2 linked regions of the Sus scrofa genome follow. The protein of the gene in region 1 purifies or fractionates together with the protein of each later gene. This does not show direct contact. Links are inferred from orthologs where the notes say so. Each region holds a gene or a part of one and is shown on either strand. Other genes may lie near its edges. The genes, in order: MCRIP2 and ATXN2.

Evidence for each region.
Region 2: the proteins of MCRIP2 (region 1) and ATXN2 purify together in Homo sapiens (co-immunoprecipitation; 3 studies listed by BioGRID and IntAct, with this or other methods). This does not show direct contact. The link is inferred for Sus scrofa from reciprocal best matches to the Homo sapiens genes MCRIP2 and ATXN2.

The regions. Positions count from the first base shown.
Region 1 is NC_010445.4:41,118,791-41,134,321, reverse strand, and holds MCRIP2 (MAPK regulated corepressor interacting protein 2), read left to right. Parts: upstream 1-6,409; 5' UTR 6,410-6,530; coding exon 6,531-6,582; exon of another isoform or gene 6,583-6,598; intron 6,599-6,687; coding exon 6,688-6,805; intron 6,806-9,300; coding exon of another isoform or gene 9,301-9,439; intron 9,440-10,243; coding exon 10,244-10,371; intron 10,372-10,606; coding exon 10,607-10,708; intron 10,709-10,910; coding exon 10,911-10,981; 3' UTR 10,982-11,285; downstream 11,286-15,531. Other genes in the region: WDR90 (WD repeat-containing protein 90), read left to right, coding at 12,013-12,193, 12,432-12,523, 12,664-12,840, 12,929-13,037, 13,212-13,385, 13,604-13,718, 13,802-13,869, 14,165-14,328 and 2 more.
Region 2 is NC_010456.5:32,700,529-32,715,427, reverse strand, and holds part of ATXN2 (ataxin-2), read left to right. Parts: coding exon 1-80; intron 81-1,886; coding exon 1,887-2,132; intron 2,133-5,367; coding exon 5,368-5,550; intron 5,551-7,920; coding exon 7,921-8,118; intron 8,119-8,838; coding exon 8,839-8,946; intron 8,947-9,369; coding exon 9,370-9,440; intron 9,441-13,764; coding exon 13,765-14,066; intron 14,067-14,899. UniProt on the Homo sapiens protein: Involved in EGFR trafficking, acting as negative regulator of endocytic EGFR internalization at the plasma membrane.

The sequences.
Region 1 (15,531 bases):
GGGGCCCTAGTGACGATGCAGTCCCGCGCCGCTGGGCGCGTCTGAGACCCGCCCGCCGCGCAGCCGCCGCCCGCCCCACCCCGGGAAAATGAGCACAGGCGTCGCGCCTTAAAGGGCGCGCAGCGCGCGGGGGCTTCTGGTGAGGGTCTGGGCTAGAGTTTGGGTCATTGCTTTGCAGGAGCCCAAAAGCTCAGCACCCTCTGGCCGTGGCTGTCCTAGCATTTTCATAGAGCTCATTGTTCCAAAATTGTCTTGTTCGTGTCGCACCAGAATGGATGCTTCTCTCTCGTCTTTTTTTTTTTTTTCCTTCTCTTCTTCATTAATCTTTTTAGGATCAGAGTCCATTTTTTGAGATGGTGGGAAAAAAACACCGGAGAAAGAAAAGCCTGCGCCGCCCGGGAATCGAACCCGGGTCGCAAGAATGGGAATCTTGCATGATACCACTACACCAGCGGCGCTGTTGCTTAAAGGTTTCTCCCAGAGACTTAGGAGATTGTGACGCAAATCCCCTCCCCCCCTTCACCCCGCCGAGCCGGCTCCGCTCGCGCAGAGACATCAGAGTGCACGCGCCTCCGCCGCGCCCGCAGCAGGAGCAGGAACACCGGGCTTGACCGGGGATCTCGCGGTACCGTTTGGGCACCCGGCCCTCAAGGAGACGGAGTGGGGCTGAGGTTTTATGGACGCCTGGAGCGGCGTTCGCGCCTTGAAAACCATGGCAACTGAGGCATTCCGGAAGTTGTGAGGGCGGGGCTTCGTGGGTGGGCGGGTCTGTGCTTGGCAGGGCTCACGGGTGGGTGGGGCTCTGGACGGGGCGGGCCCGACCTGAAGGAACTGAGCTTGCGCGGCTCCAGGGTCTGTGACGCTGAGGTGACCCGCGCGCGCCCAGGGTTTTTCGCCGATGCTGCGAGGGGCCGGCGACCTCTGAGTCAAGGGGGAGGCCGACTTGTTGTGTCCAAAGATGCTTCGCTGCTCGGCTTCTCGGGGCCCAGGTCTCAAGCAGGCTGTTGACAGGCGGAAGGCCATGCCCCGCCGTCGGCGTAGCTCCTCTCCCTTGCTGGGCGTTTTTTCTCGCACGAGACCCCCGCCTCGCCGCAGCCGCCGTCGCTCCGGCGAGCGCTCTGTGGACGGCCCCCGGGATGGGCCGTGAGCCTCGGGTTGCTGTCAGGGGGGCGTGCAGGGTGGCGACAGGGGCCTGTGAGCGTGGTCCGACCGGGAGAAGGATCTTGCAGCTCAGGGAGGTGACGCGCTGTGGGGGTGGCCGGTCTGGACGCACCTCCGGGGACGGTTCCGCCCAGTGGGCGGGCTTCCAGGCCTCCGGACCGCGCCTTTGGCCTTTCTCCTTAAGGCCCTTTTTCCGGCTTTCCCGCTTCAGGGCACTGAGCTCTCCAGACCCTTTCCTCACCCTCCGCCTCGCCTCCCGTGTGTTGGCCGAGCACCTTGTCTGTCTCAAGGTGGAGACGAGGTATCCCTCGGTGTGACTCCCTGCCCACTGCTGATGACCCGTGGTCACCTGAGGCCTCAGCACCCAGGTCCCCCAGCCCTCCTCGCCCCCTCAGGAGGCACCAGATTTCCTGGGGGCTTCACATGGCACTCTTGGGCATGGGCCATGCTGTGATATTGTCATAGAGTACGAATTAGCTATTCGGCCTTTGTCCTGGCTCCTGGGACAGCGCTTTGAAAATTCTGGAGACTTCCCGAGTGATGAGATTGAGAGGAGCAGAGTTCCTGTCTTGCTCAGTGGGTAACCACGAGGGTGCAGGGTCGATCGCTGCCCTTGCTCACCGGGTTAAGGGTGAGCTGCCGTGCCGTGTGGGTCGCAGACTCGGCTCGGATCCCGTACGGCTGTGGCTGTGGTGTAGGCTGGCAGCTGCAGCTCCACTTCGACCCCTAGCCTGGGAACCTCCATAATGAGATGGGTATGGCCCTAAAAAGAACCAAAAAAAAAAGAGGAGGGGAGGGGCCTGAGACCCACAGATTTCCTTGCTTCCCCCATGTTGTGTGGGCTGCTTGAGGAAGTGGGCAAAGGCCCAGCAGTGTCTTCCATTTACCAGCCCTGGACCTCAGGTGGCCCTCTGCCCGCCACCCTCGTCACCCTGGAGGCATCGCTCTGGACTGGACACTGTGTGACCTGACGCACACCTTCCACACTCACGGAGCTCAGAGCCTGGGACGGGAGCAGCTGGACACGGCCAAGGGGTGAGGCTCTGGGAGCGTGTGCGTGAACACATGCTTGTGAGCATGTGTGAGCCAAGGGCACACGTGTGAGCACACATTTTCTGCAAAGTCCTGAATGTGTGTCAGACTCTGGGTGGGTCCAGGTCTCTCCCGAGGGACGCTGAACATTGGGCCTGGAGGTGCCCCGCACCCGGGCTGTGCTCAGTGGCACCTCCTGGGGGTGTGTCTCCTGAGGATCGTCCTGGGCGCCGGAAGTGCCCTCTCCCCTAGGCGCACTCACCTCCCGAGGGCTGGGGACAAAGTCCCCCGTTCTGCCCCATGATGTCTGGAGCCAACAGTAGGGCCCGGCTTCTCTCCTGAGGTCCAGGCCTGTGTGCCCACCATTCCTGAGCCTCCTCCAAGCCCCCAACGCTTCCCTCCATTCCCTCACCCGCTACCCCATCCCTCAGTCTCTTAATTTCTTAGAGTTTCTGTAACAAATGACCTCAACTTTTGATGGCTGAAATCAAAAATGTATTGGGAGTTCTGTCAAGGCGCCGTGGAAACGAATTCGACTAGTAGCGAGAGGATATGGGTTTGATCCCTGGCTCTGCTCAGTGGATCAGGGATCCAGTGTCGCCGTGAGCAGTGGTGTAGGTCACAGACATGGCGCAGATCCCGCGTTGCTGTGGCTATGGTGTAGACCGGCAGCTGTAGCTCCGATTAGCCCTCTAGCCTGGGAACCTCCATATGCCACGGGTGCAGCCCTAAAAAGAAAAAGAAAAAAAATGATGTTGTCTCAGTTTTGGACGCCAGAAGTTCAAAATAAAGGCGTCAGCTCCCTCAGATGGCCCTACAGGAAGCTCTTTCGTCACTGCCTCCTCTTCGGGGTGGCTCAGGCATTCCTGCGTTTGGGGCCACCTTGCTGTAGTCTCTGTCTCTGTCTTCTTCATGTCTCTGTGTCCAGTACCTGTCTCCTTTCTCCTACAAAGACATTCATCGTTGGGTTTAGGGTCCATCCTAACCTTGGATGACCTTATCTCAAAATCCTTGCTTTAATTATATCTGCAAAGACCGTTATTCCAAGTCAGCTCACGTTCTGAGGTTGGGGACAGTGGCTCTTTTGGGGGCTGCCATTCAACTCACTGCACGTGGCAACGGGAAGGGGCAGAGCGAGCCCTTGAAACTGAGTGGTAAGTGGGGGAGTCTTTTCCTGGGGCCACTGGTCACTCTTCATTGGCCGAAGCCCCTCCCCCAGTGTGGCGTGGCGAGGGCATGGCTATGAGAGGGTGGCTGAGGATGGCTGCAAACGTAAACTTCTTCCTCCTTTAACTTGAAAGGTCAGTGTCATATGGAGAGGCTTTTAGAAGAGAAAAATAGGGAGTTCCCATTGTGGCGCAGCAGAAATGTACCTGACTAGTACCCATGAGGATGTGGGTTCGATCCCTGGCCTTGCTCAATGCGTTGGAGAATCTGGCGTTGCCGTGAGCTGTGGTGCAGGGCGCAGACACGGTTCAGATCCAGCGTGGCTGTGGCACTGGCTGTAGCCCTACGAGGCTGTAGCTCCGATTTGACCCCTAGCCTGGGAATTTCCATATGCAGTGAGTCCAGCTCTAAAAAGAAAAAAAAAAAAAAAAAAAAAAAAGAGAAACAGTATATATTTTTATAATGATAACTGGGGTCTGAGTAAGGCTGTTGCTTCCTGGGACGCCCACTGTGTGTGCCTGTGGGTGAGACCTCACCCTCCCGCCCAGCTGCCCCTGCCCCCAACTCCAGCTGGGTTCCCAACTTCTCTGACGATGAGGAACGTTGCTGGCTGTACAATTCTGCCTCTGTGGTGGCTTTGCAGGCTGACACGCGGTCTTGGCTTGTGCAGTCCAAGGAAGCCAGGCTGGCCTGGGGTTCCTGTGAGAGGAGCTCTTGGCAGCAGGTCGATCCAGACCCTGACCTCACAGGGCTCTGGCGGGGCCCTCCCCAGGCCAGGGCAGGTCTGGTGCTCAGAGCTGGGTCCTGGGAGCTGTGGGGCAGGGAAGGCCCCTCAGCCCCACAGCCCAGGCTTTGCTGCCCCCACAACCTGGCCTTCTTCCACCCTAGTTCTCCTTGCCCCTGCTCAGCGCCTCTTGGGGACCAGTGGATTTTCAGTTCCACCCTACCCATCCCCTGCCTGTCCTGCCCCCCCACTCCTGCCACGTGTCACAACTGGTCCTGTTCTGCTGGTCATTCCTGGGAGCCCTTCCAAGGGTTCTGGACCCAAACTTTGACCGCAGACAAGGCTCATGGGCAGGGCTGGGACCGGAGGGCCTTGCAGCCTTGGTTTCTAGAAGATCTAAGCAAAGGCCAGGCCTGCCCGCCCATCCACCGTCCCTGTCCTGCCCCTGATCCATGCTGGCCTGAGCAGGTGCCAGGAGAGGAGGAGCTCTCAGATCAGCTTGCGGGGGAGGTACCCCCCCACCCCAGGACCTGGCTCCTTCTGCATTGTGCCCGAGGCCACCAAGGATGCCAGAGAGCCAGTACAGATGACGCAGGACAGTGCTGGCCTTGGTGTGACTGGGGGCAGGGACCAGAGGTGGGCAGGGAGGGGCCAGATTGGCCAGGGGTGTGCTCATACCTGGACCCCCTGCATGTGCTCTCCCTTCTCAGGGTCCCAGGCCTAGCCCAGCTGGGGAGGGGGTATTACCCTTGGGCAGGACAAGACGGAGAGCCCAGGGCCCTTGGGAGCACATGAAGGGAAGGCCAGCCCGGGCACCCCGGGGATGCAGGCTTCCCTGCAGGTGCTGGAACAGCTCGGTTACCCCCGCCAGCCGCACAGGTGCATGGCGTAGGTGGGGGGTCTCCTCCTGCTAGCTCCCCAACCCACTCTTCCCTGCGGTGTACACTGTCCTTATGGCCTGGGCATTGCATGGGAGGGAAGGACCCGCTCCAGCCCCTGCCTCAGCCTCAGCCCTGCCTGGGTGGAAGGCTTCAGGCTTGCTCTGACAGTGGATGTGGGGGAAGCTGGACTCTGTGTGCTCCAGGAACTACTGGGCCACAGTGCTGAGGGCAAGCCCCCTTGCCCCTGGGGCAGCGGCTCCCAGCCTGAGACGGAGCGCCATCGGACACCCCAGGCTCTGGTGCTGGCCCGATTGAGCCTCCTCAAATACTCCTGGGAGCAGAGCAGGGGCTCCGTGGGACCAGGTGGGCACACAGGTCTCAGAGGCCGATGCCATAGCTCTTGGACAAACTGGTCACAGTTTGGTTTTTAGGGGGAGGGGGCCATTAGGATTGATCTCAACCACACAGAAGCATGCGTGCCTCCTGCAGAGCACACAAGGCCCTCAGCCTCCCAAACCCAAGAGTGCTATGCTTCCGAACCTCCAAGCCAGGCTGCTGTGGGGAGAGCTTGGGCAGCCCTGAGTACCAGTGCTGAGAGCAAGGGGCTTCTCCATCTAGTTCCTAGGAGGCAACCCTGTGGGAGAGCCTGCTTGGAAGGGGCTGCCTGGGAGATTAGGGCCCAGTGGGAGATCTGGTTCCTGGGCCTCCAGGCTCCTGACCTCCTCCTGGAGGTCAGGGAGGCTGGGCCCAAGGCACTGTCCCTGCTCAGAGTCTGCCACTCAGCCCAGCACTGCCTGGGCAGTCTGCAGGAGCCAGTGCCCCTTCTCCCCTGTGGGTGGCCTCAGCAAGCTGGGTGGCCTAATCCACCTTCTCCACCTGAGGATCCAGCCCCCAGGCTGCTCCTGGATTGGTCAGGGGTCTCCACCCTCCATCAGCAGGGCACACTGAGCCAGGATAGGATGCACTCCTGGCTCTGGACCCACGGGGTGAAAGAGAGGCTGCCAGAGCAGACACATTTCCGCCCAAACCTACAGGGCTGACACCCCTTTTCTCATCTCTGATCCCTTCAGTCCGTAACTGGACTCATCCTGGCCCAGGCTCTCCCAGGCACCTCGGGGCAGGGCCTCCACCCGTGCTTCCAGGGTGGGCACAGATCACCCCCAGCGTCTGTCAGCGCTCTGGCTTCTTGACCTCAATGCTGACCCCACGTCTGGGTGCCCGGGGGCGGGAGGCCCAGGCCTCGGGGAATTTACTCGGCCTTGGCCTTGGGTCCGAGGGGCGGGCGCGGTTTGCGGTTGCCCGGCCCCGCCCCTCGGCCTCGGGCCTCTCGGCGGGAGCAGCCCGTTTCGCAACGGCGCGAGCACCGCCCCGGCCGCGTGCCTCCGCGCGGGCCCTTTAAGGGCCGGGGGTGTGTAGCGGGCCCGCCCCCTGCCCGCGGCGCCGGCCGCCCGTTAAAGGGGCCGCACCTTCGCCGCCCGCCAAGTGCCAGCCGGGCGGAGGGCGAGAGGTCTGGCCGCGGGACGGTGGGCAGGGAGGGCGCGGGCGTGCGGCGGCCCCTCCGCACCATGTACACCATCACCAAGGGACCCAGCAAGCTGGTCGCGCAGCGCCGCACAGGTGCAAGGGGGGGCGGGTAAGGCAGGAAGGGGGCGACCGGGAGGGGGGGGTCCTCACGCTGTCCCCGCCCCGGCGGCGGCTGACGCGCCCTCTCCGTGCCCGCAGGTCCCACGCAGCAGCAGGTGGAGAACCGGCTCGGCGAGCTCCTGAAATGCCGGCATCCCGCGCCCCCGACCCCGCAGCCCCCACGGACGCAGCCTCCAGGACCCTGGCCCCTGTCAAGGTGAGACGCCTGGCCCCTGCCGCAGCCTGCCTGCCCTTCCCCTCCCCCGCCGGCCGCCGCGGGGCCCGGAGGGTGACCTTGGGGAAAGGTTAGCGGAGACCGGGCCACATGCTCGGGACGGGCGCCGAGGGGGCGGAGCGTGCCGACCGGACCCGCGCTTGCAGCTCCGGCTCGGCTTCTCCGCGCTTCCGCCTCACCTGGCGCCTGGCTGGGTCAGAGGGGGCTGGGCGGGATATGCGTGACACCCACCCCTCCGAGCCCTGTGAGACCATAGTCGGGAGAAAGCCTGCGGTTGAATCAGGTGCCCGGGTCGACCTTGGCCTGCGTGGCTTGAGAAGAGCTGTCCCGGGACTCGCCCCGGAGGGCGGGAGCAGGGTGGTCCAGAAGGCGGGCCCGCAGGCAGCCTGCCCCTGCCCCGGGGCGGGGGGCTGCCAGCCCTAAGCTTGCAGGGCAGGCGGAGGAGAGGTGCAGGTGGTTCCTTATGGTCCTGCCAGGCCACTGCTCTCCTTTGCCCTTCACCCACCCCACCCCCGCGCCCCGCAGATGCTCGGGGTTTGCTGGAGTTGTGGGTTTTCCTCCCCTTTCTCACCAGCACTTTTGCCAAAGGAGGCTCCGTTCAACCACTTTGGCATCCAAGTGACTGGAACCCGGAGGTCCGTTTCCCCCTCCTCCAGGGCTGAACCTTTACTTTTTAGCTCAGATCCTGGGCTTTGGTTTCACTCATTCTCTGCTGTCTTGGGCCCAGGACTTTGGTCCAGGCCCTCACCGGCCTGAGGGCTCCTGTGCTGGGCTGTGGCTGGATGAGGGCAGCAGACTCAGGGCCCTGAGGCAGCGCTGCGGGGGGGGGGGGCGGTCTCGGCCCGGGATCTCCTTCCACGTGGAGGACGAAAAGCTTCCAGGGTGGCCTAAGAGGGCAGGGGTGGTGTGCTTCTGGCCATCCTCAGCCTGCCCTTCCCCCTCGGTTACTGGCCTTCGATGCCGCAGGTGGGGGCAGCTTGTGAGGGCCCGTCTCGGCTCAGGCTCTTCCCAGGGGCCTCTTGCTGGGAGCGTGTGGACCCTCTGAGGCTGGTCCTAGCGAGGAACATGCTGCTGGCCAGCCATGAGCACCTCTTGGGGAGGGCTGGGGGTGGGACCTTGGGGGGCCCGTCCCAGGGCCTGGGCTGTGCAGGGACACTGCCCTGTGACATTGGCCTCAGTCCGCATGGCCGCCCTACCGCCCAGGGGAGGGAACCAGGCACGGGTGTGTTGCCCTGCTCCTCTGCCACCCAGGCGGGGAGCCCCCCACTCTCGTACATGGAGAAGCCTGTTGCTCTCTCCGCGGCCCCTCGGCTGGGGAATAGGGAAAGCAGGGAGCGTCCGCAGTGGTCAGGGTGCTGGGGAGAGAGGGGGGAGCCAGCTCCGCGCCTGGAAGGTGCCACCCTGCTCGGGTCTCTGCCCTTCGCAGTCTCTGAGGTGCTGTATTCTGCCGGGTGCGGGGGCAGTGGGAAGACAGCAGGGTGCTGACTGCACCATCGCCCCGTCGCCCTGCGGTCACTACCTTCCCTGAGCTGCCTCTTCCTGTGCCTGGAAGAGCCCCTCCCTGGGAGACCAGAGCAGCCAGCAGGTCCACAGGCCTCTGAAATCACTGCACCCGAGCTTCCTGTCCACTCTCCCTCCCCCAGACCTGCCTGGGAAGAAGGGGTCCGAGCCTGGTGCACCATGGATGCTCAAAGTATCTGACCTGTCCTGTGGTGGGACTCAGGCCTTTGCGTCTGTGCCCTGTGGCGGTGGCGAGAAAATAAGACCTCAGGAGGTGATGTCTCCTGCTGGGGAGGAGAGAAAGTGGGGCCCTGTGACCACCTGATGCTGCAGGGAAGCTGTGCCGGGCCGTGGGGTCAGACAGACACACAGTTAAGTTCCGGCACTGCCAGCCACTCACTGAGTGTGACCTGGGCCTGGTCACTTCCCTCTTGAGCCCAGGCTCTTGGGCTGACAACATGCGGGTGGTCTACCTTGGCAGGAAGTGAGGGGGACGAAGGAAGAGGATGCCCCAAGCAGAGACAGGCCGTGGCCATGGGAGCTGAGAGCTGGCACGGAGGGCGGGGCGGGCCGGACTGCGGACTTGTCTGTAGGTGCACAGGGGAGCTGTGCCCTCTCCCCCAGAGGACCTGCAGTGCCACCTTATGTAATGCCAGCAGGGAGTGGTGAGCACCTGATTGCTGGGGCACCTTCTCGGCCCAGCTGGGCCACCACCTCGGCCCTTGTGAGTGGCAGCCGCTGAGCACAGTTCTTTTTGCCCCCGTTGATGTGCACAGTTTCCTCGAGGTTGCGGCCTTCCAGGGATAAGTGTGGCAGGCCAGGAGCTGTTCAGTCGAGGACAGGCGTGCATGCCCTCTGGTTGGCATAGTTCAGGCCCGGGAGGAGCCCTGGCTCCCTATACTCTCTGTGGCCACCCAACCCTGCCAGCCCGGAGCTGGCAGGACCGGTGCCCCTCAAGACGCTCCTCTTTATTTTAGTGCCCCTCTCAACCGAGGAGGAACCCCGAGCGGCGGTGGGTGCCTGAGCCCAGGATGACGAGCAGGCCGGCGGGACCGCGAGTGCCTGGCGGAGGGGCACGTGCAGCCCAGGACTCCCGGCTCCCTCCTCCTGCTGTAGGTGTGGGCCCCGCTCTCTCCACGGCCCTGCCCCGGGCATCGTGTGCGCAGGGCTGGGCCAGTTGCTACAGGCCCGGGCAGCCCATCGATGCCCCGGGCCTGGCTGACCGGGATGGGTCCTGTGGCCACCTGGACATCGAACGCCCACCAGGCAGAGCTCCTGCACTCAGGGCGTTCCTGCACCCACGGGCAAGAGCCTAGCCCTGGCCTGGGGCCTGCAGGGCTGGGCAGGGATTGCAGCCACACCCTCGTGGCTCAGGTTGGCCCGCTGAGCACAAGGAGGAGCCATCCCTGGGGCCTTGTCCCCGGGGCAGCTGGGGGTGGGCAACGGCTGCCAGCTCTTGCGTGACACTGTGTCATTAGATGGAAAGGCTTCTATGGGGGAGAAGGTGACCCAAGAACTGTGTCTGCTGGGTGGCACTGGGCCGAGCACCCTGTGCATTCAGGTCAAAGGCTGGGCTGGTCCGGGAGAGGCAGGTGGCAGAGGAGGTGCCTGAGAGCCCCTTGGATGGGTGCCAGGAGCTTGGAGCTCTGCTGGGGGTCTGGGAGAGAGTACTCCCCCCACCGCTTCAGGCTTGCTTCAGGGCAGGGGGGCTGACTTATGAGCCAGGCTGCTGGGGTGCAGGCCTGCTGGAGAAAGGCCTTGGTCACTGGCCGCAGCACGCAGCTGCCCTATGTTCAGGGAAGTGCCCGGGCTGGGCCTGGCCTGGCTGTGGTTGGTGTGGCCTGAGGCCACTCCCGGAGCTCTGCCAGGTGGCACTTGGGCTTAGAACAGTGGCTGACTGTCTCCTCCCTGTTCCTGCAGTCCAGGGCCGAGGCTCGTGTTCAATCGGGTGAATGGCCGGCGGCCCCCTGCCACATCCCCATCCCTCGAGGGATCCCAAGAGACCTACACACTGGCCCACGAGGAGAACGTCCGATTTGTGTCCGAAGGTAGTTCTGAGGCCCAAGGGTGTGGCCTGGGCCACTGGTGATCTTTCCACTGTAACCCGACTCACAGCGGCCGGAGGGCTGGGCCCTGTCTGGGCTCTCTGCCTCTTCGTCCTGTGACCGTCCAGCAGGCCACCCACTCTCAGATCTGGGCTGGGGTCCAGGGTGGCCACTAGGCCCCCGAGTAGGAGACAGGGGGCCAGGGGCCTGGCTCAGCCTGACCACCCTCTCCCCACAGCCTGGCAGCAAGTGGAGCAGCAGCTGGGTGGTGGCCCAGCCGGTGAGAGCGGCCCGAGGCCTGTGCAGTACGTGGAGAGGACCCCCAACCCCCGGCTACAGAGTGAGCCCTCCCCCGCCCTCAGGGGGTCCCATCCACCTCCCACCGGACCTGGCTCAGCCAGGTCCTATCCCCGGTGGGGTGGGAGGAAGACTGGAGTCTGACCCGACTCTTCCCAGCAGCTCCTACACTTGGGCTCGGGGTGCGGGGCTTGTGGTGGCTCCAGGGGCAGGCGCTGGTTGGCCAGCCTTCTGCTTTCCCACAGACTTTGTGCCCATCGACCTGGATGAGTGGTGGGCACAGCAGTTCCTGGCCAGGATCACCAACTGCTCCTAGCTTCCAAGGAATGCTGCCTAAGCAGGGCCTGGCCCTGCCCCACACTGGACCCTCTGCCAGGAGAGGACCACGGTGCCCTGCTCACCCACTGTGGCAGGCCAGGCTTCACCCTGGCCCTGGCCAGGCGCCGGCCACACCTGAAGTGCCAGCATTTGGACTTTTGCACCTGCTGACCCCTCTGTCCAGCTGTTCCAGGCTGCCAGGGGCTGAAACTATCTGACCTCAGTCCTGCTCACTGTGCCCTGGGCCAGCCCATGGGGCTGGCAGGGAGGAGCTCCAGGCTAATAAAATTGAGAAAACTGCCCTTTGGAGATGTCTTTTTTTGGTGGTGGGGGTAGGGGGAGTTGTGTCCCAGCCCCACCTCCCCTGTGGCCCCATCTCCCCACCGCGGAAGCCTTGTCCCGCTCTGGCCCTTGGCCTCTTGCGAGCTGCAGTCCTGTGTCCAGAGCCAGGTTATTTTGCACTGAAGTCTGTGGACACCACCCTGCCCCACCTGACACCCACTTCCTCTTGTCTCCTTGTTGGTCTTGGCCGGTATCTGAACCTGGCCTCAAGACCCAGCGGTGTCACCTGTCTGGCCCTAGGAGGGTCCCAGCCGCCCAGAACTGGGGTCAGGGCTCAGGATGCCTGATGCTGCCTCTGGACGCCCCAGGTCTTGGTGGGGAGCCCAGGGGCTCCCGTGGGACACTGCTGTGCCTGTGGACCACTCCAGGTGTGGATGCCACCTCCAGAGAGTTAGATAGCAACAGAGGAAGCGGGGAAGGTCCCTGCTGAGGGAGGGCAGCCCGCAATGGCTCATTCCTTACATAAAGACGGGCCTAAGAGAGTCGGGAGCCTCCCCCGGTCCCACAGCTGGTGGTGCTAGAGCACCGAGGCTCCCGACTTGGGACTGGCCGCAGAGGCCAGGTTGGAAGCGCCTGCCCGAGGGCGCAGCAGCGGAGGACAGATTACGGCCTGGCAAGGTGTCGGGGCGCCCGGGCTCCCACCGCTCCAGCCTAGGTCAGGCCCCGCCCCCGGCAATCACGTGCTAAATGCCCCGGCCGCGCCGTCACGTGTTAGGACCCGCCCCCGAAGCGCGGTCTCGTGCCCTGAGCCCGGACGGCGGAAGCGGCGCGGTTGCCAGGCGGCCGTTGCTAGGTACGCACTGCGTGCCCTGCGTGGGGCGCGCGGCGGCAGAGGCGGGAAGCGCGAGCTGCGGCGCCATGGCGCGAGGTAGCTGTGCGTGGCGGGAGGGTCGGGAACTAGGGGCTGGGGGCCGGGGGCCGGGGGCCGGGGGCCGGGGGCTGGGCTTCTGGGACCCGAAGTCAGGCGCCGCCGTGGACAGGTTGCCGCTGAGACTCGCCCGGAGCCCGGTCCGCGCGCTGGGCTCGCTGTCACCCCTTGGCCCCCTCCCTGGACCTGAGGAGGGTCTGGCCCCTGGGGGCGGATCCTGACGCGTCCTTGTCCCCAGTGTGGCAGCACCCGTTTCTCAACGTCTTCCGACACTTCAAGGTGGACGAGTGGAAGCGGTCCACCAAGGAGGGCGACGTGGCCGCCGTGACGGTAAGTGGGCCAGGGCACCTGGGCGCGGAGCAGGAGCGGCGGCTTCCGTCCTCTCTCCCGGTGGGGCGCTTTGCTGCACCCACGCCACCCCACCCCGCCCCGGTGTCTGTGCGGGACGCCTTGCCTTCGTCTTTCCCCAGGACAAGACCCTCAAGTGCAGCGTGTATCGCGTCCGGGGCTCTATCTCTGCCGCCAATTACATCCAGCTCCCTAAGACCAGCACCCAGTCTCTGGGGCTGACTGGACGCTACCTGTATGTGCTCTTTCGGCCCCTGCCCACCAAACATTTCGTCATTCATCTGGATGTGGCCACCGAGGTGCTGAGCTGGGGAGCTGGGCGGCCTGCGGAGGCCCTGCCCTTCTCCTGCAGGCGAGCCTTGTCACAGGTGTGCTGTGTCCCCACAGGACAGCCAGGTCATCCGACTGTCATTTTCCAGTCTCTACAAGGAGGTTAAGTCTACAGCCACGTGGCTTCAGTTTCCTTTTGTCTGTGAACCTGGGGCACCCAGGAAAGGTAACACACAGAGGAGGCATCTGAGGGACACGGAAGGTCTTGGAGAGGCAGCCCGAGGGGCCAGGGGGAGGTGGGTGGCGGGCATGGGGTTGGGAGCATGGGTGTGGGGACATGCCAAGGAGTGCTGCGGGCTGTCTCTTGAGAGCTTAGGCACTGACTTTGGCTGATGTCCAGCAGAGCTGGCCGGTGTGGCCCCCCCTGGCACCCGCTGGACCTGCCTGCAGCTTGACTTGCCGGACCTCCTCCTGGTCTACCTGAACCGGCGCCACAGTCACCTCAAGAGCGTCAGGCTGTGTGCCAGCCTGCTGGTCAGGAGCCTCTACACCAGCGACCTGTGCTTCGACCCTGGTGAGGGCTACACCCTGCGCTTAGCCTGCGGCCCACCTGCTCTCACTCTCTCTGCCTTGGTCTCCGCATCTTTGCTGGTACTTGATGGACACACCTCCCGCCGCAGCATCTTTTGAGTCTGCCAGCTCCTGAGACAGCCTGGGGGCGAGGTGGTGGTTGGGCTGGGAGAGGGAGCTAGGTGGGCACCCCTTCACGTGGAACACCCCTGCTTCTGGTAGCTGTCACGGTCGCTGAAGCCCGGCGTGCGAAGCTGTCGGTCACCCCCATACCTCGAGAGATGGCGTTCCCGGTGCCAAAAGGGGAGAGCTGGCACGACCACTACGTCCACATCCGGTGAGTGGCTCTGCATGTGCTGAGGGAGGCCTGGTGGAAGGAGGGCTAGGCGGCCCTGGGAAGCTGATTCTCTTTCCACCAAGGTTTCCGAACGACCGCTGGAAAAGGCCGTCCGAAACGGTGCAGGGGGGCTGTCCCCCTCCCGAGGCAGGTGAGCCTGTGGGGCAGCTTGGACCCGGGTTCAGACCCTCAGGCCCATGGAGTTGGTGGGACAGGGGGCCCGAAGCTGCACCAGGGGAGGCAAAGCCAGCAGTGTGGTCCCTGAAGGTGGAGACTCTGTCCCAAGGTCCCAGAGCCACTCGGGAGGTTGCGGTCAGGGTGCCTCCTGGCTCCTAGCTTTACAACTGGGAAGGGGTGCCAGGGTCCTCGGCGGGGGGCTGCAGCTGTTGGTGCAGCTTCCCTGCTGCCGGGTAGGCAAGGCCAGGGCCCACTGCTGCCCCAGGCAGGCCTCGCTGCCATGTCTTCACGCGCTGTCTGTGCTCTGCTCGCTGGGTTCTGCGACCCCTTCACCGTTGCGGTCTTAGCTGGGCTTCCCACTCAGCCGGCGACCCTCAGCAAGCCTCTGCAGGACAGCGCGTCTCCTGTGGCCCGGAAGCGTGGCCCCACGGCGGTGAGTGCCCTGTGCCCTCGGAGATGGGGCTGGGGAGGGTGGTCCAAGCGGCTGACAGGCTCTTGTTCCCCCAAAGTCCCACCGGGCCTCCTTGGCGCCCAGCCCCCTTCTAGACGTCAGCCTGTCCTGCCGGCGGTCAGAGAGCTCCAGCGCAGGTGGCCCCAGTGGCCGTAGCCACAAGCCTGGGGCCCAGGTAGAAGCCACTGACGAGCACGCAGCCGGTGACGCCCTTCACGTGTCTGCCTGTCAGCCGGCGGTGGCGCCCACGGCCCCAGAGGCCACAGCTCCACGAGGGGTGAGTGCCTTTCCCAGGAAGGCGGGCTGGACTCTGCCGTGGAGGGGAGTGGGTTCTGGACGAGCTGTGGGGAGGGACACCGGTCCCCAACCACCAGGAATTTGGGTAGGGCGTGTGATTTCTGCTCATGGTTCCTTTTCATCCAGCTTTCTGGCAGAAAGCAGAACCAGTAGGAAGTGACCATGGGCAAAAGCCATTTTTTTTGTTGTTGTTTGTTTTTGTTTTTACGGTTGTATTCTCGGCATATGGAGGTTCCCAAGCTAGGGGTCCCATCGGAGCTACAGCTGCAGACCTACACCACAGCCACAGCAATGCGGGATGCAAGCCTCGTCTGTGACCTACACCACAGCTCATGGCAACGCTGGATCCTTAACCCACTGAGCAGGGCCAGGGATCAAACCCACATCCTCATGGATCTTAGTTGGGTTCGTTAACCGCTGAGCCACAAAGAGAACTCCCCAAAATCGTTCTCGACAGAGTAGTGAGAGGGCGATGCCTCTTTGGTCTGTGGGATGCCTTGGGCTCCAGGCCATGGCAGGTCGGGGTACCTGCAGGGTCTAGCACTGTCTCTGGAGTCCTGGCTTCCTGCCACAAAGCAGCCAGCAGAGGCCACCAGGACCAAGCGACTTCCTTGGGAGGCACGAACCAGCTCTGGGTGGGGCGGCCCTGGTGGGACAAGGCCTCGCCACCCAGGGTCTCACCCCGAGTTCACCTGTTGCAGAGCTTTCTCCCGGATCCCATCCTGAGGCTGAAAGGGGCTATCGGCTTTGGGGGTCACAGCACCACATGGGTGAGGATCCTGTGCTCTCGTTGGGTCCTACAAGCATCGGCCACACAGAGGGGACAGCCCCGAGGTGGCTGCGTGGACCTCGGAGCTCCCCCAGGGGTTTGGTCCGTTCCACACGGCA
Region 2 (14,899 bases), on another chromosome or scaffold:
CTCCATGCCGTCAAGATCCACCTCTCACACTTCAGATTTCAACCCGAATTCTGGTTCAGACCAAAGAGTAGTTAATGGAGGCAAGTATTTTGACCAAATTTCTCCATATCATTGATCGAAATATACTGTTTTCTAAATGTTTACATTTTATGTTAATTGATAAGGACATGAATACATTTAATGATTTTTGTGGAGTAGTTTTCACTTAAATTATTTTAAATTTGCCATTCTGGATATCAAATTAGTAAAAAGTAATATAAGTTAATGGTGTATACAGTATTTAGTATGATGAATTATAAAGTGCTAAATTTAACCAAAACCATTCACTTGGCAAAAAAGCACTCCACATACAAAGAAATTGGAAACTTTGGGTAGGTTCTCAATTTTTAAACCACTGGGTGATAAAATTATTTAGACATAGTTAACATTGAAAAATACCAGTTTGTGTAAAACACCTAGTGCTTAATATAGATTCATTTTTATGAACTGTTTGTTTATATATTTATATTTTGTTTATTTCAAGGAAGGATTTGAGGTAACTTGTAATACAGTACATGACCAAGAGTCATGTGAACGTGGTGAAGGAAAAAATGTGCTTAAAAAACAATAGAAACAACTCTTAGTGTAAGGGTGGATATTAGAGTTTAGCTTAAGTAAAAGAAAGTTGCGTCTTCAGTAGGAAGATATTTTTTCTACCTCAAAATTTAGGTTAAATTAGCTTATTGGTCATGGATCTCTCGTACAAGTCAGGGATACTGGACAGCTGTACTAAAGACTGTATGGAAATATGGTAGTTAATAATACTGATACTGTGTTATTACCAGGGAACAGTGGCTTTCAATTTTAGATATGTGAATTTGGAAAGTTAGAAAAATAGAGAACACTAAGTTTCCAATTTCATTTGTTTTCATTGAATCTTTCTCCAGAATTCCTCTCCAAATGAACACTCTTGAGTATTTTCTGTACTTTGTATTGGGGGTGAAATTTCTTTGCTCACTGAGTAAAGAGTTTTAGTTGTTTATGAACAGAATTTTCAAAGTAAAAAACCTGAAAGGGGCTAGGAAATGTATGATACTCAAGTGTGTGGAACCCTATGGAGAGGAGACCTGGACTGTTTCCTAAGATTGAGGTAAGTGATACGTCATGTTACATGTTAGCTGTACATCGACCTGTGCATATTTCTTGGTGTCAGTTATTTGGTGATGACTGCTCTGTAGTTGCATTGTTTATTAAGCAGTCTCTTAAATGAATGTTTAATTGCATAAATTATTTAGAATGTCCCCCTTTTTCCCAATTTGATAGGATTAAAATAAGTGAAAAGGCAGTGGATATTAACCTGTCACTCCTGTGACTCTAGAAAATAGCAGAAGTAATGTTACATTTCTCCTTAAATGGTGTTGTTTAATGAGATTTCAAACTGAGCTTTGCATTCAAATATGAACTAGAAGAAAATCACAGATAATTATAAGAAACTAGCATTTTTAATGGGATATAATAGCTGATGTTTCAGAAAGCTAAAACTAATATAGTAAATAATCCGATTCCTGAGTTTTGTGATTTATTGTGTGAAATTATCTAGTGTATGTTGTACTCCTTTTAACAATTGATTACCGAGAAACAGTTATAGAAGCAGGATTAATAGGCATAGTCTTAACTGTCTTCTTCAATAGTATGTGTAGATCCTAATTAACCCTTTGGGAACGTGTGTTCATTTAAACAGAATTTTAAGGAGGTTAAAGTAAAATGTGAATTTATGTCAGTTAAGTTATGCTAAAACTTATCACAAATCAAATGACTGTCCTCAAAGGGTTAAAATGTACAAGAAATCATTTTTGTCATTTTACTTTTTTTTCTGTTTACTTTTTTTCCCTCATTTTTTTCTTTAGTTTTTATACTTTCCTTCATATCATTTGTTCTGTCAGGTGTTCCCTGGCCATCGCCTTGCCCATCTCCTTCCTCTCGCCCACCTTCTCGCTACCAGTCAGGTCCCAACTCTCTTCCACCTCGGGCAGCCACCCCTACACGGCCGCCCTCCAGGCCCCCCTCGCGGCCATCCAGACCCCCGTCTCACCCCTCTGCTCATGGTTCTCCAGCTCCTGTCTCTACTATGCCTAAACGCATGTCTTCAGAAGGTACAATACCACAATTTGTTCATGTTTTTGTTTGTCTTTGTTTAACTCCTATGTGAGTTTATAATTACAAAATAGTTTCCTCTTCATTATTTAATAACCTATAATTTCCGTGTTTTAACTTTAGTTTATTAAAACTATTTCTATTAACCTTTTGTTCACTAGAGAGAAATTTGATAAATGCGTGTGAAGCGATGAATTATCTTGAATTGTAAGAATGGGGGTTTAATCTCTGCCTGGTAATGATGCTACTGCTTTATAGCCCAAGGCCTTCTCCCTCCCACTTTATAATGTATGTAGTGGTTAATGGTAAAACGTGAACTTTCTTCACCAGTCTTGGACTTACTGTAGAGCCTGTCATTTTATAGCTCCCTGCCAAGGTTACTCGTGATTCTGCCTGTTGGCCAAAGGCAGGAGTGGTGATTTAAAGGTCCTTTTTGAGAGGGACATTGCATGTAGCTGCCCCTGTGTGTTTGCCCATAGATGACAATACAGAGTTTCATTTTGTGTTTGGGAGTTTTAAAAAAAAAAAATTAGCTTTGTAGTATTTTATTGTGTAATATTTATTTAATCTGCAAGAAGTCCTTGATCTAAGATAAAACTGTTAATAAAAACAATGTATGAATCTTTAAGGGTCTTTTTACCCTTGTCAAAAAATAAAATCCTGGAGTTCCCGTCGTGGTGCAGTGGAAATGAATCCGACTAGGAACCATGAGGTTGCAGGTTCAATCCCTGGCCTTGCTCAGACGGTTAAGGATCTGGTGTTGCTGTGCCTGTGGCGTAGGCCAGCAGCAATGGCTCTGATTAGACCCCTAGCCTGGGAACCTCCATATGCCGCAGGTGCAGCCCTGAAAAGACAAAAGACAAAATAAATAAATAAATTAAATAAAATCCTGTAATTCTCATTCAATGTTTGATGCTAAATCCACCATTGCTATATATCAGATACATAGATGTGTTGTAGAAAGGTCACATTTTTATTTAAATGTAGTGAATAAATTAAAAACCTATTTTCTGAATGATAATGGCCTTTGATGTTATTGAGAGCATTTGATATTAAAATTTTAATCTGATTTGTTCATTAAAATTGCAGGTAATATTGCTTATGTTGAAACTGATACAGTTTTCTGGCATAAAGTGCTTGCCTAGAGAAAACATGTTGCCTGCTGTTTAATAAATATTTGCCATCTAGGCAGGGAGGTCATGTGATCCTGACTAAAGAGGCTAACCTTAAACAGCCCATTGCACTGATTTTCAAGGTTACTTCCCTACTCAAAAGTGTCTGTGATGGTGGCTTCTAAAAGAAAAGTTTAATTCTGATGAAGTATTTATTTGGTCTATTATTTGCATAAGTGATGTTCATATCATGAGAATATGTTAGATAAAAGCAAGACTCATTAGTGAGTGTGAGCTTGTTCACCATGGTTAGATAGAAAGATTCACGTCAGAGTATACCTTCTGCATATTCAGGGATGCTACATTATTCACTCTTTATTTTTAACTAATTGAATGAAAATAGGTTTTCTAGTTGTGTAGTTAGGTGACACTGAAGTATTTTTAAAATGTAAACTTCAAAATAAAGCTATTAAATATAATGGTTTTCTGTATTCAATATAGGGAATTATTTTGTTTCTGCAAGTATTTTACATACTGCCAAAAAGACTGAATTTTTTAAAGTTAAATTCTAACTTTGATTTCATTGAGCTATGCCAACCATCTTTCTTGGTCTTTTTCTATAAAGGGATATAAAAATATGTATAAATATGCAAATACCCAGTTCCTAATTCAATCTTCAGTATAAATTGTATCTTCAGTTTAAAATTATATAACATTAACATTCTTAAGGTATGTCCATGATTGAAGTACTACTAAGGACATAAATGAATTTGACAGTTTAAAGAGTTTGGCAGCAAGGTGCCAGTTCAGCAGCTTTGGCATTGACATTAAGAATGAACTTTGGGAGTTTCAGTTATGGCTCCGGTGTTCCCATAGGCTCTCGTGTAGGTCACAGACGAGGCTTGGCTCTGGTGTTGCCGCGGCTGTGGTGTAGGTCTGCAGCTGTAGATCCAATTTGACCCCTAGCCTGGGACTCCATATGCCACGTGTGTGGCCCTAAAAAAAAATAAAATAAAAAAATAATGAACTTTGCACTGTCAGTGATAGTACAAAGCCTGACAAGTGTTAGCACTATCAGGCTTCTCTGGTAAGAGCCATTCTGTCCACTGTTTTCACCTGATGTTTTGTTTGAATGCACAGTAGACTTCTTTAGAAATAGAAATCGCTAATGGGGTGACAGAATTGATGTGGAATTTTGACAATTCATATAGTGCAGATTTCTTCCCCAAGTGTCAGTTACTCTAGTCTGCAAGTCCTGCCTTAAAACCAGTAGAATTTTTAGCTCCCAGACTGTTAGTTAAGACTGTTAAGTCTGAGAAACTGCTTACAAGTGAGGACTGCTTTAAGATATGGATTATAAAATTGATCATCATGGCAGAAAAGGTTAATAAATTAAGGTTTTAGAGAAATTAAGGGAAATTTGAATATAATCCTTAGTACAAAAATGTATTGAGGTTAATAGTTTTCTCTTTAAAGAGTTTTTTTCCCTGGAGTTCCCTGGCAGCTCAGCAGGTTAAGGATCATCAACATTGTCATTGCTGTGGCTCGGGTCACTGCTGTGGTGCGGGTTCCCTGGCCCGGGAACTTCTGCATGCCACCTGCACAGCCAAAAAAAAAAAAAAAAAGATACTCTAAAAAATATATTTTTCTTCTAATTTTATAAGTAATGTATTAAAGAAAATTTGAAGGAAAAAGCTAAAAGTATGTGGTAAAATAAAGATTATTACATCATGTAGCTATAACCTTTATAAATGTTCTATTATTTTTATATGCCTATAAATTATGGACATAGAGTAAACAAATTGCTAAAATCTTTGCAGAGTTATGACATCTCACTGTTTGATTTCTTACTGCCTCCTTCCCTTTCTTTAAAAATAAGGAAAATAAACTTTATTGTTAAAATTTTATGTCATTCCACAAAATAATTCTGAGAGTATGGCCAAAAATGTAAATGGCGTTTGTTTTCTTTTTTTTTTAACCAAGAAGAAATGGGGGGGGAAGGGGAGAAATGTGTGTGTGTGTGAGAGGGATAAAGAAAAAGAATAGGGTGTGTGTATTTAACAGAAAAGTAGTACTGGTGGACATTGTGGCATTTATGTGATGTTCACTGTTCCTTTCTTAGGGCCTCCAAGGATGTCCCCAAAGGCCCAACGACACCCTCGAAATCACAGAGTTTCTGCTGGGCGGGGTTCCATTTCCAGTGGCCTAGAATTTGTATCCCATACCTCACCAAGTGAAGCAGCTGCTCCTCCAGCAGCAAGGACTAGTCCCGCAGGGGGCACATGGTCTTCAGTGGTCAGCGGGGGTAGGTAACACTTGGCTTAAAGCATAATATCAATGACACTTTGTTATTATATTTGATGTAAAAGGGCTGAGCTTGAGCTCTGTTTGAGGAAGTCTAAGTGTATATATTTAAAATAGTAGAGTAACCAGGAATTTGGAAAACAGTTTTTATTCTGGGTTCTACCACTTAAGTCACCATATGTTGGAGCAAATCAAGTGATCATTTTGAATTTCAGTTTTCTCAGTGAGTAAAGTAGTTTTTGCCTAGTCTACTTTAGGGTCTTGTGATGAAATTCATATGGGGTTCATAAATATGAATATATTTTATTATGGTTTTATAAAGGGCCACTCAAATGGGAGGCAAATACAGTGCATAACAATTTTTGGAGGGGATCACATTTCCTGTCTTCTTAGAAACTTGGTTCATTGATTCCACATTTATTTTGGGCTTACAGGCTTGCAATGCTATGTGTTTCTTTTTTTTTCCCCCATTCATTCATTTGAAACATTTTTATTGAGGTTTTTTTTTTTTTTTTCTGTCTTCTTAGTGCCAAACCCATGGCATATGGAAGTTCCCAGGCTAGGGGTTGAATTGGAGCTGTAGCTGATGGCCTTCGCCACAGCCATAGCAACGCATGATGCAAGCCGCATCTTCGACTCAGCCACAGCTCATGGCAATGTCAGATCCCCAAGCCCACTGAGCAAGGCGAGGGATTGGACCCATGTACTCATGGATACTAGTCTGGTTTGTTAACCACTGAGCCACTATGGAAACTCCCTATTGACACTATTCTGGGCCGAAGTGCGGGATCCAAGCCGAGTCTGCAACCTACACCACAGCTCACGGCAACACCGGATCGTTAACCCACTGAGCAAGGGCAGGGACCAAACTGGCAACCTCATGGTTCCTAGTCGGATTCGTTAACTACTGTGCCATGACGGGAACTCCCTATATATCCTTTTTAAGGATTAACAAACACAAGGGCCCAAGTTTTATCTGTGACCAGCCTGAAGAATGTGCTGACAGCAGCTATAAAAATGTAAAAAGTGTATACTTTGATAGGACCTTACAATTAGGTTAAGATTGCTTTTGCTACTTAATGTTTTGTTTCTATGATAACTAGAGTTGGAGCATGCAGTGACATAATCTATCTTAATCAGTGCATGGAACTTTTAAAAGAAAAATCTTTAAACTGAAACAAAGAAAAATATACCCAACTCCATTAAATGTCTTTAGTTGATATACATTTCTTACTTTCATGTAAGTGTAATTTTATGGTAAATTCCTTTGAACTTTCTATTTTTCTAATTTGGTCTTCAGTTACAAGGAAATTATTCAGTTGACAAAAAATAGTTTCTAAAATCTTAATTTCTTCTGTGTATCAGTAATTATTTGACAGTATTCAGATGATATGGAAATGAATTTTGAAAGTAACAACATGATTATAGAAGTGAAAGAGTAGGGAGTTCCCTTGTGGTGTAGCAGGTTATGGATCCAGTGTTGTCACTGCAGCGGCTCGGGTCATTGCTGTGGTACAGGTTTGATCTCTGCCCAGGGAGCTTCCATATGCTGTGGGCCACCCCACCACCACCACCAAAAAAAAAGAAAGAGGTGAAAGAGTAAAATCATAGTTGTTAATAGATACACCCAGCAGTATTACAGGTTTGCTCTTTATACTAATCAGAAAAGTGACAGTTGTTGAATAATAGTTTCCTTCCATGACCCTTGTTACTTAGGGTGAAGAATCACTAAAGTGAAGCAAATTGAACTATTTCCTCTAAATCTTTGAATCTGAATAGGTTTATATAAAATACGAAACCTATTAGATACTCATTTTGAAGTTATGTGGAATATGAACTCTTCCTTGGATTATCTTCCCCTTTGCCCTAATTTGAGTTTCCAGTTTCCTTAGTTACTGAAGAGTGGATTTTGCTGTGGTAAATAAACTGCTAAAATGTGTTTATTATTTGAAGGAGAAACAAATAAGCCTACGTCTTAGGGATTCTCTTCCCCTCCTCCACACATGTATTTTAAAGAAACAGTCTCACCTTTTAGTAGAGAATGTTGTTATCTTTATCCTAAGAAGTAGCACTTGTCCTTCCTTAGAAATCCAGTTTTTAACTTCATTTAAAACACTGCCTTTTAGAATTCATATATTTAGTTAGGAGGGAAAATGACTGTTGTACATGGTTATTAGTAATTGTTTTCATTCTTCAGATATTTATACTTTGTCGTCACCATTATTCCTGAGACTTTGGAAAAGAAAACAGGTGATGAGATGAGTAATTGGGAGGTCAGATAGAACTGTTACCTAGATCTTTCAGAAAAGCCTTTTTGATGAAGCGACATTTTAGCTGAGGATATAATGGGTAACTTTTCTCTTTCTTGTAGTTCCAAGATTATCCCCTAAAACTCACAGACCCAGGTCTCCCAGACAGAATAGTATTGGAAATACTCCTAGTGGGCCAGTTCTTGCTTCTCCCCAAGCTGGTGTTATTCCAACTGATGCTGTCCCTATGCCTTTACCAGCTGCATCTCCTACGCCTGCCAGTCCTGCATCCAACAGAGCTGTTACCCCATCCATTGAGGGTATGTAAGAAAGGGCTTCTAGATCCATGATGTCATTGGTGAAATTGAATTTTAGACATTTAACATTGTGTGAAAAATGGTTATGTTGTTTTATCCATAGGTAAGTATTTGATGGCATATTAAAAATTTTATGTAAATAAAGTTAGTTGTTTAAGTAATACTGCTAATTTCAGGAGTTCTCATCATGGCTCAGCAGTAATGAACACAACTGGTATCCATGAGGACACAAGTTCGATCTCTGGCCTTTCTCAGTGGGTTAAGGATCTGGTGTTGCTGTGGCTGTGGCGTTGGCTGCCAGCTGCAGCTCCAAGTCAACCCCTGGCCTGGGAACTTCCCATATGTAGCAAGTGTAGCCTGAAAAGAACAATAAAAATAAAACCTGCTAATTTCATATATGTTATTCTGAAAGTTTAAGAGAGTTTACATTCCTGGGTAGTAAATAACAATATAAGTAAAATTTATTAGTGGAATTTCCTGGTGGCCTAGCACTTAAGGATTCGGTGATGTGGCTCAGGTTTCTTCCCTGGCCCAGGAACTTCCATATACCATAGGAGCAGCAAAAAAAAAGAAAAAATATATTTCATATGTCTGCGAAGTAGGAAAGTCTCTGTTTAAGTGGAAATATTCTTTTCCAAAAACACAGGATCAAATGGTTGAGTATTTTCCAATTTTACTTCTATAGCTTCTATTAACCTTTTTATATAAAATACTGTTTTCTAGCTAAAGATTCCAGGCTTCAAGATCAGAGGCAGAACTCTCCTGCAGGAAATAAAGAAAATATGAAGTCCAATGAGACATCACCTAGCTTCCCAAAAGCTGAAAGTAAAGGTTAGAGCTTTAAAAAGTCTTTAGGTATATCTGTAGAAATAGGAAGGAATATGTCTAATCTGATGCCCAGTACATATTACTTTTTTGGTCAACACTTTAATTTCTTAGTGTTGTGATATTTAAGTGCATAATTTGACAAATGTCAAAATCTATAATATATTGAAAGTTTTGTTATTTTGGATAGAGGTTATTTTTCATTTCCACCATCCCATCCTAAAAAAAATCTTAAAGATTAGAAATAAATCTAGGAGTTGTCCTGTAGTACAGTGAATTGAGGATCCAGTGCTGTCACTGCAGCAGCTTGGGTTGCTACTATGACACCAGTTTGATCCCTGGCCTGGGAACTTCCACATGCTATGAGCACAGCCAAAAAAATTAAAAATAGAAAAAGAAATCTAGATCTAATACTTCATATTTTTACAGGTATATCACCAGTTGTTTCTGAACATAGAAAACAGATTGATGATTTAAAGAAATTTAAGAATGATTTTAGGGTAAGTATTGTATTGACTAATGAATTAGAATTTTTAAAACAATTTTTTAAATATTACTAAGAATTTTTATATCATCCATTTACAAAAATGTATTTTATATGTATACCCAGAAACATCAAACCATATTTGTAGAAAGCTAAATATTCTTAAGTTGTCTGTGTGTGTGCTTTAGGTAGAGTAACTAAAATCATGAGATTTAATAAGAACAATATAGCTATTAAATGAAAGAGAATGTAATTTTCATATTGGAAGTCATCATAAGTTATTACTTCATGTTCATTTGATTACTTTATTCAAATATGATAGAGCAAAGGCAAAAGGCAGCCTTTTCCTAGCCTGTGTTCTACCTTCCTAAAAATTAAGTTTTTGCTTGATAGCTTCATTTTTGACTTATTGGCAGTATTCAAAATATTAAATGTTGTTTCATACTTTAGCACATTTATCTGGTCATCTTTAATGCTATTAACAGTTGTGAATTTAAATTTTTTTAAGCTATAATTAATGCATGGACATGATAAAAAGAATAATAACTGAATGCTCAGATGGTTGCTACTCAGCTTACTTAATATGTCAAGCACTCTACTATAGTTAAAGTCCTCCTGGGTACTTGCCCACCTCAGCTACATCCTTCTGTAGGAGTGAAGGATTTCTTTCCTTGTAATTCTTTACACTGCATATAAGTAGATTCCCTAAGCAACAGATGATATTATTTTGCATCATCTTCAACTTAATATAAATATGTTACAGGTGTTCATGCCCATTTGCTTTTATTTCCTCAACATTATTTTTTACACCCAGTCCTTCATGCCCTTAGAGTAATACATTTGCATGAATTTATTACATTATGAAGGAAAAAAATTGTTTTTACTTTGAAGCATATAAGATAGAATGTTTTTGTAACAGTTTTATTGAGGTATAATTTACATATGGTTTAGTCATTTAAAGTATAGTTTAGTGGTTTTTTAGTATATTCATAGAGTTGTATAAGCACCACATAAGCCCTTAGCAGTCACTTCTCATTTGCTGTCTTTTTTTCTTTTTTCTTTTCTTTTCTTTTTTTTGTCTTTTCTGTCTTTAGGGCCAAACCCACGGCAATATGGAGGTGCCCAAGCTAGGGGCCTAATCGGAGCCACCGGCCTAAACCACAGCCACAGCAACACCAGGTCTGAGCCGCGTCTGCGACCTACACCACAGCTCAGGGCAACGCCAAATCCTTACCACTGAGCGAGGCTAGGGATCGAACTCTCAACCTCATGGTTCCTAGTCAGACAGAACTCCTCATTTGCTTTCAAATACTTCTCCCCACCCCACCTCCACCCTAAGCCACCACTAATCTACTTTTTGTCTTCATGGATTTGGCTGTTCTGGACTTTTCATATGAAAGGAACCATACAATATGTGGCCTTTTGTGGGTGGCTTTTTTTCTACTTACTGTTACGTTTTCAGGGTTTATCCATGTTGTTGGGTGTGTCAGTATTTCTTTGCTTTTTATGTGAACTCCATTGTATAGATAGACCACGTTTTATATATCCATTCATAATCAGTTGATGCCTTTTCCTTCCCCCTTACCCCTCTGGTAACCATAAGTTTGTTTTCTTTGGGGGAGGTGCTATACCTCTGGCGTATAGAAGTTCCCAGGTAGGGGTCCAGTCGCAGCTGCAGCTGTCAGCCTACACCATAGCCACAGCAACACAGCATCCAAGCCACGTCTTTGAGCTACACCACAGCTCACAGCATCTGGTTCCTTAACCCACTGAATGAGGCCTGGAATTGAACCTGCATCCTCAGGGGTACTAGTTGCATTGTTTCCGCTGAGCCACAACAGGAACTCCCAAGTTTGTTTACTTTTTTTTTTTTTTTTTTTTTTTTGTCTTTTTTCTTGGGCCGCTCCTGCGGCATATGGAGGTTCCCAGGCTAGGGGTCGAATCGGAACTGTAGCCACTGGCCTACGCCAGAGCTACAGCAACGCAGGATCCGAGCTGCATCTGCAACCTACACCACAGCTCACAGCAACGCCGGATCGTTAACCCACTGAGCAAGGGCAGGGACCGAACCCGCAACCTCATGATTCCTAGTCGGATTCGTTAACCACTGCGCCACGACGGGAACTCCCCAAGTTTGTTTTCTATGTCTGTTAGTCTATTTCTGTTTTGTAAATGAGTTCATTTGTATCAATTTTTTTAGATTCTACATGTAAGTGATATCATGTGATATTTAGCTCTTTCTTCATATAATAATCTCTAGGTCCATCCATATTGCTGCAAACGACATTCTTTCATTCTTTTTTATGGCTGAGTAATAATACTGCTGTATATGTGTAACACATCTTCCTTATCTGTTCATCTGTCAGTGGACATTTAGGTTGCTTCCCTGTCTTGGCTATTGTAAATAATCCTGCTGTGAACATTGGGGTGCATGTATATTTTATAATAAGAGTTTTTTCTAATTATCTTTTGTGGATATATGCCCAGGAGTAGGATTGCTGGATACACGGTAAATCTGTTTTTAGTTTTTTAAGGAACCTTCATACTGTTTTCCACATAGGCTGCACCAGTGTATATTCTGAGTAGTTTTTTTTTGTTGGTGGTAGTGGTTTTCATTAGTTTTTTTTTTTTAATGTAGTGTTAGCTGGGGTTTCAAATTCAGTCTTTTGCATATGGGTAACATTTGCCACAGCACTGTCTTTTGAAAAGACATTGAATTATCTTTGCACCTTTGTTGAAAATCATTTGGCCAAGTGGAAGAGCTTATTACTAGACTCGGTTCTCGTCCATAGATCTCTATATATCTATCCTTTATGGCAGTACCACACTGTTTGAATTAGTGTATTTTTTTAAATGCTTATAACTTCTTCATTTAAAAGAAAACATTTTGGCTCTCATATTATCTGTTCACAACTTTCTGTAAACCTTCTTTAATACTTGACTCTTAAATTCCAGGTAGTTGCAGCATTATATTGCTATCTCTTTGGGACTTCTACTCTTAATATTTTGGGGGAACCTGAAAATGCAAATGTATTATTAAATTTCTTATGAACAGCTTAATCATCTGTAAGTGAAATAATAGAAAGCAACGAAATGATTTGATTTGATTTGATTGTCCTTTTTTTTTGGCTTTTTAGGGCCACACTCGAAGCATATGGAAGTTCCCAGGCTAGGGCTTGAATCAGAGCTACAGCTGCTAGCCAGCACCACAGCCACAGCAACTCGAGATCTGAGCTGTGTCTGCGACCTATAACACAGTTCATGACAGTACCGGATCCTCAACCCACTGAGGGAGGCCATGGGTAGAACCCGCATCCTTGTGGATACTAGTCAGATTGTTTCTACTGCAGCATAGTGGGAATTCCTGTCTTTATTATTTTTGTTTTTTTCGGGCTGCACCTGCAGCATATGGAGGTTCCCAGGCTAGGGGTCAAATCAGAGCTATAGCTGCCAGCTTACTCCAGAGCCACAGCAACACCAGATCTGAGCCATGTCTGCCACTTAAACCACAGCTCACGGCAACAGTGGATCCTTAACCTACTGAGCAATGCCAGGGATCAAACCCACATCCTCATGGATACTAGTCAGGTTCGTTTCCACTCCGCCACAACAGGAACTCCTATTTTGGTTCTTTAAACATGCAATCTCTGGTGTTCCAGCTGTGGTAAAATGGGTTAATGATCTGGCTTGTCTCTGAGGAGGCACTGGTTTGATCCCTGGCCCCGGCACAGTGGGTTAAGAATCCAGAATCCTGCAGCTGTGGTGTAGTTCACAGCTCTGGCTTGGATTCGATCCTTGGCCCTGGAACTTCCATATGCTCATGGACAGCCAAGAAAGAATAAAACAACAAAAAACATGCTGTTTCTTTTGCTTGCACTAGTATTCCTGTTTTGGAACTCCACACCTGCCTTCCTCCCTCAACATCTTTCACACTTTAAACTATATGACACTTCCAAAGAAAAGCCTTCTCTTTCCATAAATTGCTTTTTCCTACGGCATCTTTTAGCACTACCCCAGTTGTTGTTTGTCTATTCTCATCCAGATGGTAAACTTTGGGAGGATAGGAACTATTTCGCATTTCTATGTCCTACATACAGAATTTCTGACACATGGTATGCACTCCGTAATTTTTTTTTTAGGCTAGGACATTTGCGTGCTTACATGACTAGTTACTGTGTATAGACATACTGTTATTGTTGCCTTATAATGAAAACATTATTCATAAAGTATGAAAAAAGCTTTTAGTATACTCATGCCTACAAATACTAGTTTTGCTCATGGAACAAATTGATTACTAGACTAATTTAAAATATTTAAGTATAATTATTTCCTTTATTTAGTTACAGCCAAGTTCTGCTTCTGAATCTGTGGATCAACTGCTAAACAAAAGTAGAGAGGGAGAAAAATCAAGAGATGTGATCAAAGACAAAATTGAACCAAATGCTAAGGATTCTTTCATTGAAAATAGCAGCAACTGCACCAGTGGCAGCAGCAAGCCGAGCAGCCCCAGCATTTCCCCTTCAATCCTCAGTAACACGGAGCACAAGAGAGGACCTGAGGTCACATCTCAGGGGGTTCAAACTTCCAGTCCAGGGTGTAAACAAGAGAAAGATGATAAAGAGGAGACGAAAGATGCAGCTGAGTGAGTAAACCTGGAATTTAGCACATCCTTCATTATTTTTTCGTAGGGTGTCCAGAGCCTTCCAACTCTAGAATTTGTCTAGACTTTTAGACTGCTTTATAAGTAGCCCTCAATTTATAACTAACTGGCAATGAGATCTTAAGTAAATTAGGTCATTGCACCCTATACTTTTCTTCTGTCCACTGCTTTTGCACTCCATGGCACAAAAAATCCTATGCATACATTAAGAATGGCTTTTTTGGTAAATATACAAATAATTGAAAAATTACTGGTTTTTGGAAAGCTTCCACTGTGGTACAGGTTCTGTCCTGGCCCAGAAACTTCTGCATGCCATGGGTGCAGCAAAAAAAAAATTACTGGTTTTTGGGACCAATATCCCTTAGATGCTGGTCAGTACCCACCTTTTGGCTGTGCTGCTAGGACTAAGAACTGTCGCTAGAAGTACCTAGTGCCCCTACTTGGAATTTATTGTATTTTCCACCAGAAACAATGTTCTAGGAGTTCGCGTTGTGGCTCAGCAGTTAATGAACCCTACTAGTATCCATGAGGCCTTGGGTTCAGTCCCTGGCCTTGCTCAGTGTGTTAAGGATCCAGCGTTGCCATGAGCTGTGGTGTAGGTCGAAGACGTGGCTCGGATCCCAAGTTGCTGTGGCTGTGGTAAAGGCTGGTGGCTATAGTGCTGATTCGACCCCTAGCCTTGGAACTTCCATATGCTGCCATTGTGGCCCTAAAAAGAAAAACAGACAAACAAACAAACGGTGTTTTAGTTAATGGTTGGATTTGTTAAGACAGAATTCATTCTGACACCTGAACCTAACCCAACATTGTAAATC